Linked DNA regions of Drosophila melanogaster. The protein of the gene in region 3 purifies or fractionates together with the protein of the main gene of each other region. This does not show direct contact. Each region holds a gene or a part of one and is shown on either strand. Other genes may lie near its edges.

What was found.
Region 1: the proteins of Lst8 (region 3) and CG8654 purify together in Drosophila melanogaster (affinity purification with mass spectrometry, with the first as the bait; one large-scale study listed by BioGRID). This does not show direct contact.
Region 2: the proteins of Lst8 (region 3) and SPE purify together in Drosophila melanogaster (affinity purification with mass spectrometry, with the first as the bait; one large-scale study listed by BioGRID). This does not show direct contact.

What each region holds. Positions count from the first base shown.
Region 1 is NT_033778.4:19,976,981-19,981,276, forward strand, and holds the start of CG8654 (uncharacterized protein), read left to right. Parts: upstream 1-2,261; 5' UTR 2,262-2,329; intron 2,330-3,559; exon of another isoform or gene 3,560-3,841; intron 3,842-3,896; exon of another isoform or gene 3,897-4,295; intron 4,296-4,296.
Region 2 is NT_033777.3:23,683,826-23,688,121, reverse strand, and holds the start of SPE (Spatzle-Processing enzyme), read right to left. Parts: upstream 1,868-4,296; 5' UTR 1,837-1,867; coding exon 1,761-1,836; exon of another isoform or gene 1,585-1,760; intron 1,411-1,584; coding exon 1,018-1,410; intron 802-1,017; coding exon 492-801; intron 432-491; coding exon 8-431; 3' UTR 1-7. Other genes in the region: CG18754 (uncharacterized protein), read right to left, coding at 2,246-2,642, 2,708-2,941, 3,417-3,738, 3,993-4,065; CG16710 (uncharacterized protein), read right to left, coding at 4,238-4,296.
Region 3 is NC_004354.4:9,603,895-9,607,494, forward strand, and holds Lst8 (Lst8), read right to left. Parts: upstream 2,076-3,600; 5' UTR 1,982-2,075; coding exon 1,868-1,981; intron 1,812-1,867; coding exon 984-1,811; 3' UTR 260-983; downstream 1-259. Other genes in the region: Gga (Golgi-localized, gamma-adaptin ear containing, ARF binding protein), read left to right, coding at 1-119; LysRS (Lysyl-tRNA synthetase), read right to left, coding at 2,579-2,659, 2,726-3,600. UniProt on the Drosophila melanogaster protein: Subunit of TORC1 and TORC2, which regulate cell growth and survival in response to nutrient and hormonal signals. Essential for TORC2-mediated regulation of cell growth and phosphorylation of Akt1.

The DNA.
Region 1 (4,296 bases), on a different chromosome or scaffold from region 3:
AAAATCAGCACACATTTTGGGTACTTTAAATTAGATTGTTTATTTATTTAACATCTGAGCTTTGCCGAACTACTACAGAACTGCTCTGAGATTTCTTTTTGTAGCCGAGTGTTGGGTGGGCTTGCTGATCCTGTTATTTCCGTTGTCCTAGGTCCTGTCCTTATTATTGTTTCTGTTGCTGTAGTAGTGCTTCCTGCTGCCGTGTTGTGTGACTTGAAGCGTGCCACAGAGCGGCATGTAAACACAACCTTAAATTAAAATATGTTTGCTTATGCAGTTTGTAAAGCAAACTGAACGGCAAACTATAACCGATTCCTCCCGCCAACCTAGGCATAAATTAAAACTTTGCAACATTCGCACGGAGCCAGTGTTTCGCTCGGCAAAAGCTAATTATGCATAAAGCTGCGGCCCTGGCAAGGGGTTTATTTACCTTTTGGTCTACTGCCATCCAAGAGGTTGATGTTGCCACAGCCCCGAGAATCAGTACTCCTGGGTCGGAGGTCATCGGCGGTCGTGGGTGGTGGTTCGCTGAGCGGTATTATGACAGCTGCCCAGCTGACTGACAGGCTGCGGTGAGAACTGCTGTCGGCGGCGGAAATTAAACGCCTCGATTTGCGTGCCCGTCACGCGTAAATCAGGTAACACAAGGCCCGACAAGGCTGCTGGCCATCAAATTCATTAGAACCGATACCTACATATGTACCTTGAAAAACCAAAAGTTTCTATGAACCCTGAACTAGTAGTCATACTGTTTCTACTTCCATATTTAGTAAGCTGGATAAATGGTTCTTCATAGGTATAAAGCTCATTAACTAAAAATTGTTTAATGGGTAACCTAATACTTTTCCTGAAAGTGATTAGTGTATAAATGACTTAAGTGCGATAAAAACCTGAATTTAATCTGGTCTTAACGAAGTATTCAACCGATTAAGCAGCAACGACCTAGTCGGCCAACAACTAATGATCAGGTCACTCATCAATCTGTGAAGTGTTGGCAGACCGCTCATCATCAACCCCACCAGCTTCTGGGATTAATCCCTAGCCCCGAAACCACCGAAATGGGCAGCCGCATTGGATGAGCCGTCCGCTGATTTATGTGACACACATTAGGACGACCGGCTAGTTCGTCCAGTGTAAATTGAAAGGGGCCCGGCAACGAAACTGCAACATATCGCCGCGTTTTATGATGCTTCGAAATTAACAATTTTAGCTGCCCGCAGCGGCAGCCGCATTCCATGTTAATGCACTTTATCGCCCCCGGCCAGGCGAAATTACTCAAAAAATGGCGCACAAATTGCAAACAGGGCGCGCATAAATTAATCGAAGCCTAGGCTAGCGAAATTAAAACATTAATCTGCGCACCCGACCAAGCAGCACAATAATTAATGCTGGCTAAAATTTATTAATTTATTTATAAAGCCAAAAAGGGCGGCTGAAAAGGCACTGAATAAGAGGTGCGAATCGTGGTCCGAATGCGAGTCCTACGGATCCTCGAAAGAAAACGAGAACGGGAATGGGAATGGGAATGATGGAAGTGCCCAAGTGCCGTCCGACAATAAAAACCAAAGACATCTTCAAATGGCCCGGGATGAAGTGGACAGCCATGAGGCAGCTTCCTTGGCTCTGCTGGACAGTGCGCAGTTTTTAAAAATGTCAGTACGCCCTCTAGGGACAGATTAGCGATTAATCTACGGGGCATGGTCACATGGACGCCCTTCGGACAACAGACTGCGGACTGCGGTCCTCCTCGTTGCTGGGAGGACGAGGTAACGATTAAAAAATCTCCACATAAAAGACTGAGCACTTAATCAAAGAGGATTTAGAGAAGAACTAAGGGGCGATTACAGAGGACGGACGGGGTAAAAAGCCAAGGCAACCAGAGCCAAAACCGTTGATGCGGCTCTTTGTTTCTAGCTGCTTCTTCTCACAACGCATACCCTGCAATCTCAGACTGGGCATTTCAGCAATCTAAGCTAATAAAGTAAAGAAGATGATATAATAGTGTACGATACAAAAAGTGTACGAGTATCCATATTATTAATCATATGGTGTGGCATACTTTTATAATTCTAATGAATGAAACACGTACTTTCATTACTTTCAAACACTTTGATGCATTTTCCCTTCACTCAGGTAGCTAATTGCAGTGAGACAGACAGGCAGATGCTCGATAAGTAAACAGGCAGGTTAAGGTGTGTTTCTGCTTCAAGGGTGGTTTGGCAATTTTTCCATTTATAAAGTAAGGTGAGTATATTGATTTTTCGCAGTTGGAAGCGAACACTTGGCAGGTGTGAAGTGCTGATCCAGAAAGGAGCTAGTCTTGGCACAGGTAAGTTTTCCGCTTGAAATTTCTCTACCTTGTTATTAGAAGTCTTAAAATTCACTAAATATTTATCTATTTCGTTTCTGAGATAATCATTGGAGAGCATCTCCCAGTCGCCATGCTCTCGCATTAATCGCCTTACTTGGATTTTAACTACATATTACAAGCACTTTTATTTCGCTAAGCGTTGCTCATAGTTTTCGGTGCGCTTTTTCATTGCCATGCAGCATCCAGCTCCACCTCCAACTCCACCTCGATCCCCTCGTGAAAGACCTTAAATAGTGGCAAAGACATCTCACAGACTTGGCGCGCTGCATTTGTCAATTTACTACGAGCTGAAAGGGGCGTGGCCGCGCATAAAAATGATATATGTGAGCGCTGAGTTAGCAATTTTCGTATGAATTGGCAGAGTTGCAGTTGCTGCTGATTCTGCTGCTGCCGTTCGCTTTATGAATTTCTTTATGGCCAACCTATAAAATATTTTGATTGCACCATGGTGTGTTCGGATGAGGGGGCAGTTTGAAATTAAATGCCTGCCGCTTGATTTGCTCGCTGGACCTCAAGTGGATTCCTCGCAATCCTCGTCCACTCGACCACTGTCCACTTCAGTTCAGTTCAGCTCGGACCTGGCCTGTTCGGACCTAGCCCGTTCGGCAATTATGGAAGAAAAACCGCAAAGCGCTCCAAAGCCGGCCCAAAACATTTGTTGGCCTTGCCAAGTGCTTCTCTGTGCAGCGCCAGAAATTTGGCATTTCCCCTGTAATCCTTTTGTGTGCTAATTGGAGCGTTGCCGGGCCATATATATATCCCCTGGAAAATATCTGGCCCAAACAGTCCGCTTGCCGGCCCATTCGGGGCACTGAAATCGGCTTAGAACACTTGTCAGCCCACCAAATGTAAATATTAAACGGGGCCATTTAAATGGATTTAGTTTCGCAAATACACAGTATATCGGCTGGGCCTTGAAATTTTAGTTTCAGATTTAAATAAATAAATAAATAATATTAATAAAGGGTATAGTAAATATTTGGTGGAATTCTCAACTTCAAAATAGCATGTGACTCATACAAAATATACAACACATCGTTAATATATACTATATTAATACATTACTGAACTGGTAGCTCTTAACATCAATACATCTTTTAAAAATTAGTCACGTGTAATTAAAATGTGTCTTTTTAGGATAATTTATTACCTTAACATATTAATAAGTTGATTTGCACAAATCAAAAGTTTGTATCTACAGGAAACGTTTAGGAACTAAAAATATTACTAAAATTATACTCAATTATCGTCTTGCCAAATAAGTCAACAATGCGACTCGCTTTATTGATATTTGGACTTTCAATATCATGGGTAAACCAAACATTTTGGAGTTTGATAAACGCGTGCTAAACTGATGAACACTGCGTGATTATGTTTGGATTTCATTGTGATCAGCTATCGGATTCACGGCGAGACATCTCTATTAATTTATACAAAACATCATCTATTTTGGAATACAGGAGCTATAAGGTAGGCTAAGCTGAATGTGTGCTCAACTGATTATATGATTAACATTTGCCCAAAGGCTTTCTGCAGGTAAACAATATATACGTGTTATCTCGCACAAGTTGGCCAGAAGTTCAGGGCATTTGGCATTATTTGTCATATTCGCGACGCTTGTCGAACGCCTCTTATCATCTGGGATTAAAGTACACACGACTTTATCGCCATCTCAGTTGCTTTTCTCATCCGGCGAGACAAGATGAGATTTTTCTGCCATTGATAGTAGAGCGTCGAAGCCCACCAGACGTAGTTCAAAAAGTGCGAGATTGCGAACAGAGTATTATCAATCAACTTGCTGAGTTATATAACTCGGGCGGTAGACAAGCCCCCGAAAAGTTCCGATTACTTAATATAAATAGAATTGGTTTCGACCTACTTATAACTGTTTTTGTTTTGATTGCCATTTAAATCGGCTCTTTAGG
Region 2 (4,296 bases), on a different chromosome or scaffold from region 3:
GTATTCATCATGGCTCCAATTTCTGCTTTATCCAATCGATGAAAGCCCCCGTGCGGGTATAGACGCCGGGCCATCCCTTGAGGCCGCAGGGCTTCGTCCCGTAGGAGGTGACGCCGGCAATGTAGAAGACATCCCGGCCGCCCGTGGATATAGGCACCATAAGGGGACCGCCGGAATCGCCACCGCATGTATCCACGCCCAACTGGCCGCCGGCACACATCTGAGAATCGTCCAGTTTCACCTTGAAGCTGGAGTACTTTTCCTGACAACTCGTTAGGTTCCAAACGTTGACGGTGATCTTCAGCTTGATCGCACTTGGCTGCATGTTCTCGGTAAGTCCCCAGCCGGCCACATCCATGCCGTAGTCCACAAAGTTGTTTTGGACTAAACCATCCGTGGGAAGGCATATTGGACGCACGTAGTCGGTGTAGCTGTGGCAAAAACAAAAAAGCAAGTCAGTGGAATAATTGAGGGATCTCTGGACCACATACCTAACAATCCTCTTAAGGCGCACCAACGCAATGTCATTACGCTGATCAACGGAATTGGGAGCATACATCTCGTGGATGATGCCCTTCTCGACCTCAATGTCGATGTGTTTCGGTGCACAGATGCGCTGTCCGTTCATCTGGGTGGTGCAGTCAGGATCGGTACGAGTGTCCCACTCCCCCAGGCGAACGCTGTGTAGAACGGCACCGGATTTGTCCAGTTCTCGGCTGGCCAGGCAGTGTCCAGCGGTCAGGACGTAGCGCGAGTTGAGCAATGCACCGCCGCAGTTGAAAGTGTAGGTTTCAGAAAAAACTGAAAGGATAAAGAGCGTTTCCCAAGTACATATTATAAATTGATTAGATACTAATAATAGCCTTGTATATATTGAATATGCGTTTTCTTATAATGATGATCCCCCCATTGGAGAATTTGATTTGAAAAAGTGATTAAAAAATGATTACAGGTGACCTCGTGAAACAACCTTCCTATAAGAGATTAAAATAGAGCCTGGGTAGGTAATCTACTCACGTTTTTTGTACTGCAGCAATACCATCCATGGGAATTCCCAGAGGGTCGTATTGGTGCCCCCGAAAATGCGATCAGCGAAAAGGAAGCCGCAGACGTCATTTCCAGGCAGCACATCCCCCTGCTGCAGTGCATCCCTCGTCGAAGGAGTTGGTTCCGAGTCCATGATATTGCCCCGCATGCTCTGCGGACAGCAGACCAGGATTCGATTCACCAAGCCCTCAACCCTGTTGTCCAGGCCACACTGGCTCTTGGAGAGAAGGATTCGCTGGGCGGGAGTCTTTGGCTCCACCATCAGCAGGTTGGCCAGGTAGGGGCAGCTGGTGATGTGAACGCACTGGCCGCGCTCATCGCTCTGCTGGGGCGTACAACTGCCAAAGCTGATCTCCGCTGCGTCTGGAAGAGAAGAGCGCGATTTACGATGCAGTCTAACCGGTTCTGAACCAATCCATTAAAGGCAATCCATTCTACTAATGGACTTCATGTCTAATATTTCTCATAAAATTTCTTAGTCCGGGAAACTATATGTTGATATTTAATATATTTGAAGTTTTCAAAAACTCTTTGATTATTAGTTGTTATGGTTTTTATTCTCACAATCAACAAGGTCAAGTGCTTAGTTTTTCTAGCTTTATTCAAACTATATACTATACTATACTATATATATAGAACTATATACTTTTGAAAGAAGCACCATTGCATCCAGTTGCTGTGGATATTGTTTGCCCAAAGGACAGCTTACCCACCTGATCGATGGACCAAGCCGGATAATGCGCTGACCACCAGTGACAGTAGCAGAAAATTCCGTTCCGTAGAAGCCATCTCGTCGCTATGGGCTCCAAGCTGATACTAACCAAGCTGTCCGGCAGTTTCGCTGTCACCGATTCTCTCCCGATGCATTGGGCGTGATTAGCAGAGGTTATCTCCGGACTCAATACCATCTAGATTGCAACAAAGGCAAAAGCTATGTGAATAGGGTGGTCTTTCCCTGCCTTAATATTTACATAGTAGTTCTGCTGAGCTGGGCAAACCCAGCGGTGTAGTTATTAGAAATTTATTTATGCTTAATCTTCTCTCGGCACGTTATGTTTTTTGAACAACACGTTTTTTAAAAAACAATCTTCAGTGCTTTTTCTTATCTTTTGGGGTTTTATAGGTCTATTACTTTATAGTAGTGGATTAATGGAACAGATGCTATTCCAATTTTGCAAATATGAATTCTTTATTAAAATTAGGGAGCCAAATTCGCTTTGATCCACTCCGAAAAGTGGCCAATTTTTGTGTAAACACCTGGAATACCAGCAGAGTAGCAATATTGTTGTCCATATGAGGCAATGCCTGCCAAAAAGACGAACTCGTCGACGCCGCTTCCCATGATGCCCATTACCGGACTGCCGGAGATGCCCGCACAGGTGTCCCCTTTCCGTTGACCACCGGCGCATACTTGGGACGCGGAGCGAAAGCTGGGATACCTATTCAAGCAATCAGCAGGATTCCTTTCCTTGACCGTGCTGGTGATCAACGTTTGACTGCTTTTAGTCGGATCCCAGCCAGAGATTTGCAAATTCAAATCCTGTAGGGGAAATTCGGCGTCCAATAGACAAATGGGTTGGATCTTTTTCGTGTATCTAGCGGGTTTGTAAAGAAATTTCCATAAGATGTGGAGATTAGGGTGGAGATCACTGCTACTCACCGCACTGGGAATTGCAATCGGAGGAGGGCGATGTCGTTGCGGTAAGTTCCGCCACTCGAAGTGAAACCCTGATGTACTGTTGTTTGCCCCACCTCCACATCCAAATGTGGACACCTGCTTTCCGAGGTGATGCAGTCGGTAGTGGACTCGCCCAGGCGCACACTCTTCAGAACCAGGTCATTCTGCGTCAAGTAACCACCGATCACGCAGTGGGCAGCGGTCAGCACATAGCGACTGTAAAATCCCAAATGAGAAGACTTTACTCGTTGAGTTTTTGTAAGAAACTAATTTTATTTGGAAATATCTTCGGTTTAAATAGGTGACATGAGAATCGCATCTTAAAGTAAATGGCCTACGCAGAGGCCTAAGTAAATAGTCCCCGCCTTATCGAGGTCCCACGCTCGGGCACATCTGCCTATCTTGAGCGGCGAGGACCTTATCTGTGGTCTCCCACTAAGGGACTATTTTAGGAGGCGGGGAAAGATCTCAAGTGACTGACTCATGTAGTGTGCACTTAAATTACATGTTTTTGAGCAATGCACCCATGTCGCCTTAGATAACAAAATCCTAAATATAATTTATCGCTCTCGATTCATTTACATAAGATATGAACGGAGCCCAAAATTGTAAGTCTTTAAATATATTCGTGTTCATGTGTGAACAGCGACTGTTGATCAGTGAGCCCGCACAACCAGTTCGTTGATTCCACATCAAGGATAGCCGATTCTCATATAACAGCAATACCATCCAAGGGTACTCATTAAGCTCTGCATTCTCGGCACCCCGATCTCGGAACACGGGCGTCGTTTGTCCACAGGTCTGTTTGTTGGGCAAGACGTCACCCAACTCTGGGCAGCAGACATAAACCATGTGCAACAACTCGTGTCCATTGGGGTCCAGGCCACACTGCCTGTGTGCAAACACATCTTTCTCCGCCTGGGTCATGCCCCGGGGCCTAAGGATGTTCATAAGCGGCGAGCAGCTAACCAGTCTGGTGCATTTCTCATCCTTTTGGCAGCTTGATAACCGAACTATAAATTACAAAAATAGATAAGTGAAAGCCCCGATAAAGTATAGCAGTACGAGTCTATGTGGAAATATTATTATTATTATTATTTTTGAATATGATTTATAATAAAACGGATCGATGGATATGATAATTTTTATAATTCATGGGGTCGAACGTGACCTATTCACAGCACACATCCTCTGCAAGGATATTATTGAGCAAGATATAACATCTTCGGTTTTTTACGAAAACTTAAAAATCATTGCTTTTGCTTACCACACTCAGCCAATTGGTTGAAGAAAATGGCCTGGAGAAGGACCAAAATATAAACTTTACGTCTGTCCGACATGCTAGACATCCAAACTCGATCTGACACTAAATATACAGAATAAAATGGATCAACAAACTCATAAATCCCAATGACTCAATGAAATTTCCTAATTTATTTTTGCGATAATTTGGGCTCAGTGCCGGACAATAAATATTTCTTTTCTTAACCAAATTCTACTATTTTGATTATTTCATTGGAATATATTAGTGTACATGTTCCATAGAATCCATTCAACGAATTTGGATGTCT
Region 3 (3,600 bases):
TGCTAAATCCGACAGGCAAGGCCGTGGACGTAACATGCATTGTGGGCTACAAGCTGGGCGACGATCCGGATCCCATCAAGGAATCGATTGTGGCCAAAGGCATTGACTATGTGGACTAAAATACCCCGACATATAAGTATCACCCGCTCCCGTCCACTGAAAGCGCAGGAGGAAAATGAAAAGAACGAAAGACAGTCAATTTTCCCGCATCTATGTTGTGCTCCCCATTATCTTAAAGATACTTTTGGTTTTTCAATTTCTGTATTGTATGTGTATGTACGCTGATAAGATTTTTATTCAAATTGCATTTTGCATACAAACGATTTAGTCGTAATATAATTATGTATCAAAGGTTTATAAATTATGAAAAAGTCGCTACAAAAGCCAAGCGCTCATTTTCAGAGGTATTCTCATTAATCTGTTCAATTGTTGTGTGGATGTTGTTTTAGTTGATGCTTCAGTTCAGTTCAGTTGTCGTGTTGCCCATATATGGATTCATTGCTACTCTCCCCACTGTTTCAAAAAATGCCAAATTATTTGTTCCTGGCGGATTGTCTCGCTGGGTTGGCGGTTTTGCGGATGATTGTACATCTGAGATATTTGTTGATTTAACTGGCTTAAGATAGATCGTAATTAAGTTCGGAAGTGAATTAATGAGCACTGCTGGCAGTTTTTCAAACATTAAGGATATCAATTTTTTTGAGACTATGAATTACCATTTTATATATATGCATCTAATTGGGAAACGTAAGCTGAACTAAAACATTGAGTCTAATTAAGAGTAGAAACTAAAACCGCGATGCTTAACAAACCATTACAATTGCCATTCATTTTGTGTGGACTTAAGCCAGCTAATTGGTAGAATGACTAAAACTAGTAGGCCAATCTTTGGGGAAAGCCAAATGAAAATCCGCCACCAGGAGCCACTTACAAAGTGCCTAGACTCTAGCCGCTAGCTACTACTACTACTACTACAACTACTGCTATTTGCCCACGATCTCGTCCTTGAAGGACAGGGCAGTGATGGCCTTGGTGTGACCAGTATAATCCCTAATCGAACTCTTTGTCTGCAGCTTCCACAGTCGTGCAATGCCGTCGGATGAGGCTGTGAACAGCCATTTAGAATCGGCGCTAAAGGCGGCATCCCACACCCAATAGTTCTCGATGCACAGCTCGCGCCATTTGCTAAAGTCATCCGTCTTCCAAATGCACACAGTGCCATCGCCGGATGTCGTCAGCAGTAGCCTGGAATCGGGACTGAATTTGCAGCGCAGTATGTAGCGAGAGTGGGCCGGAATTTTCCTGTTCGGCCGCAGCGTGCTCATCTTCTGATCCTGACTGGTCAGCGACCAGATGTAGCAGTTGCCCTTGTTATTGGCCGCCGCCAAGTATCTGCCATCCGGCGAGATGGCAACATCCTGAATGGATGCGTCCACCTCGGGCACGATGCGTTCGTGCCGCTCCGACTTGACGTCCCACAGAAAGACGCTGCCATTTTGTGAGCCCATGGCGATCTCCACCTGGTTGGGATGCAAACAGGCGGCATTTACCGGCGCCTCACAATCAAAGATCCGGGAACAGTGTGGCGGTGCGGCAATCATGTCCCAGATCCGCACGTGATGATCCTCGCCGGCGGTGAACATCCAATTGCCGTCCTCTTGGAAGCCAAGTCGCGTCACATTCTTTTGCACGCCATCGAAATTGATCACCGGTGCGGTGCAGTTGGACTCCAGGTCGTACAGCCGGATGCACTGGTATCCGCACGCCGCCAGTCGCGTCTTATCCGGTGTCCTGTCTAGCGCATTCACTTGCTGCAAGTTAAAGCATGTTCGTTAACCGGAAAATGCACGAATCGGTTTATTCCTACCGAGGTCTCCACGAATCTCATCGTCTTAATGCAGTTGCCCGTGTGCGCCTGCCACACCTTAATGGTGTGGTCATAACCACCGGTGGCCAGGATCAGCTGCTGTTGGTCCCCCATCCTGTGATTGCACAGATTAATTGACAATTTCCGCGTTTTTTTGCCCCAATGTTTTCATTTCACCAGACCTATCGGTCCATTGGTCCTCGATACGCGCCTATCGCGCTTATCGATAAGTGGCGCGGTGCTGGTAAGCGCGAAAATATATTCTTATTAGAATAAAACCTAAAGCGCAGCAACAAAATCGTTTTCAAAAAACACTATTAATTGATATCAGTATAATTTTAGGTTTTATTACAAAAATGCGTACTGATTTACATATCAAGTCTTTCTTTTATCCGCATAAATAATCATTAGATTAGATATAACACAAAAATTATGTCAAATCAAAAAAATTTTAACTGAAAAATTTTGATAATTTACGGTACCTGGTTTATATAATCGAGATATTTTCCATATAAAGTATTATAGAATTATCTTAATAATATTTATTATCCCAAAACTCGGACATTAGCAGAAAATAAAAAAAAGAAACTGACGCAGCTTTGGTTATTGGGAAAAATGTTTATTGGTTGAATAACTTAGCAACTGGGATTAGTCCGGGACCAGCGTAACGTACAAGGATTGGGTCTGAGTGGAGTGAGCGGCGTTGGCCATCTACTGCTGTGCGGTGGGAGCAGTTTCCGCTGCCGTGCGGTTGGCATCCTCCGGTTTCATGGCGGGGAACAGCAGAACCTCCTACAAAAAAAAAGAAGCCTCATTTAGCAACGCTTGCAATAAGTTAAAGACCAAGTGTAGACCCACCTTGATGTTGTTGGAGTCCGTGAGGAACATGGCCAGGCGATCGATGCCCATGCCAAAACCACCGGTGGGCGGCAGTCCGTACTCCAGGGACGTGCAGAAGTTCTCGTCGACCAGCTGGGCCTCATCATCGCCGGCCGCCTTGTCGCTGGCCTGCTGCTCGAAACGCTCGCGCTGCACAACCGGATCGTTCAACTCGGTATACGCGTTGCAAATCTCCTTCTTGGCCACAAACAGTTCGAAGCGCTCCGTCAGGCCGGGAATACTGCGATGGTACTTGGCCAGCGGCGACATGATCTGCGGATGCTCACAGATGAACGTTGGATTCACGCAAAACTCCTCGATGAATTCGCCGACGAGCTTGTCCAGCAGGCGGGCAGTGGTGCGCGGAGCTGGGCACTCGACCTGGTGCTTAGCGCACAGCTGAGACAGGAACTGATTCGTCTCTGGCGAATTGAAGGTGTCGGCCGCGGGGAACTTCACCTGCAGCTTCTCTTCCAGCGTTTTGATCATGGATACGCGCTTAAAGGGCGGCGTAAAGTCAAGTTCTTGCTCAGGTCCCTCTGGACCCTCCGGATGATAGATGACCTTGTAGGAGCCACGGATCGCTTTCACCATTCCCGAGACCAACTGCTCGGTGATATCCATAATGTCAGCGTAGTCGGCATACGCCATGTAGAACTCGCACGTGGTGAATTCAGGATTGTGGGTGAGGTCGATGCCCTCGTTGCGGAACTGCCGTCCGATCTCGTACACACGATCGAGTCCACCCACCACCAGCATCTTGTGATACAGCTCCGGAGCAATGCGCATGAACAGATCCATCTTGAGGTCATTGTGATGCGTCACGAAGGGCTTGGCAGTGGCTCCACCGGCGA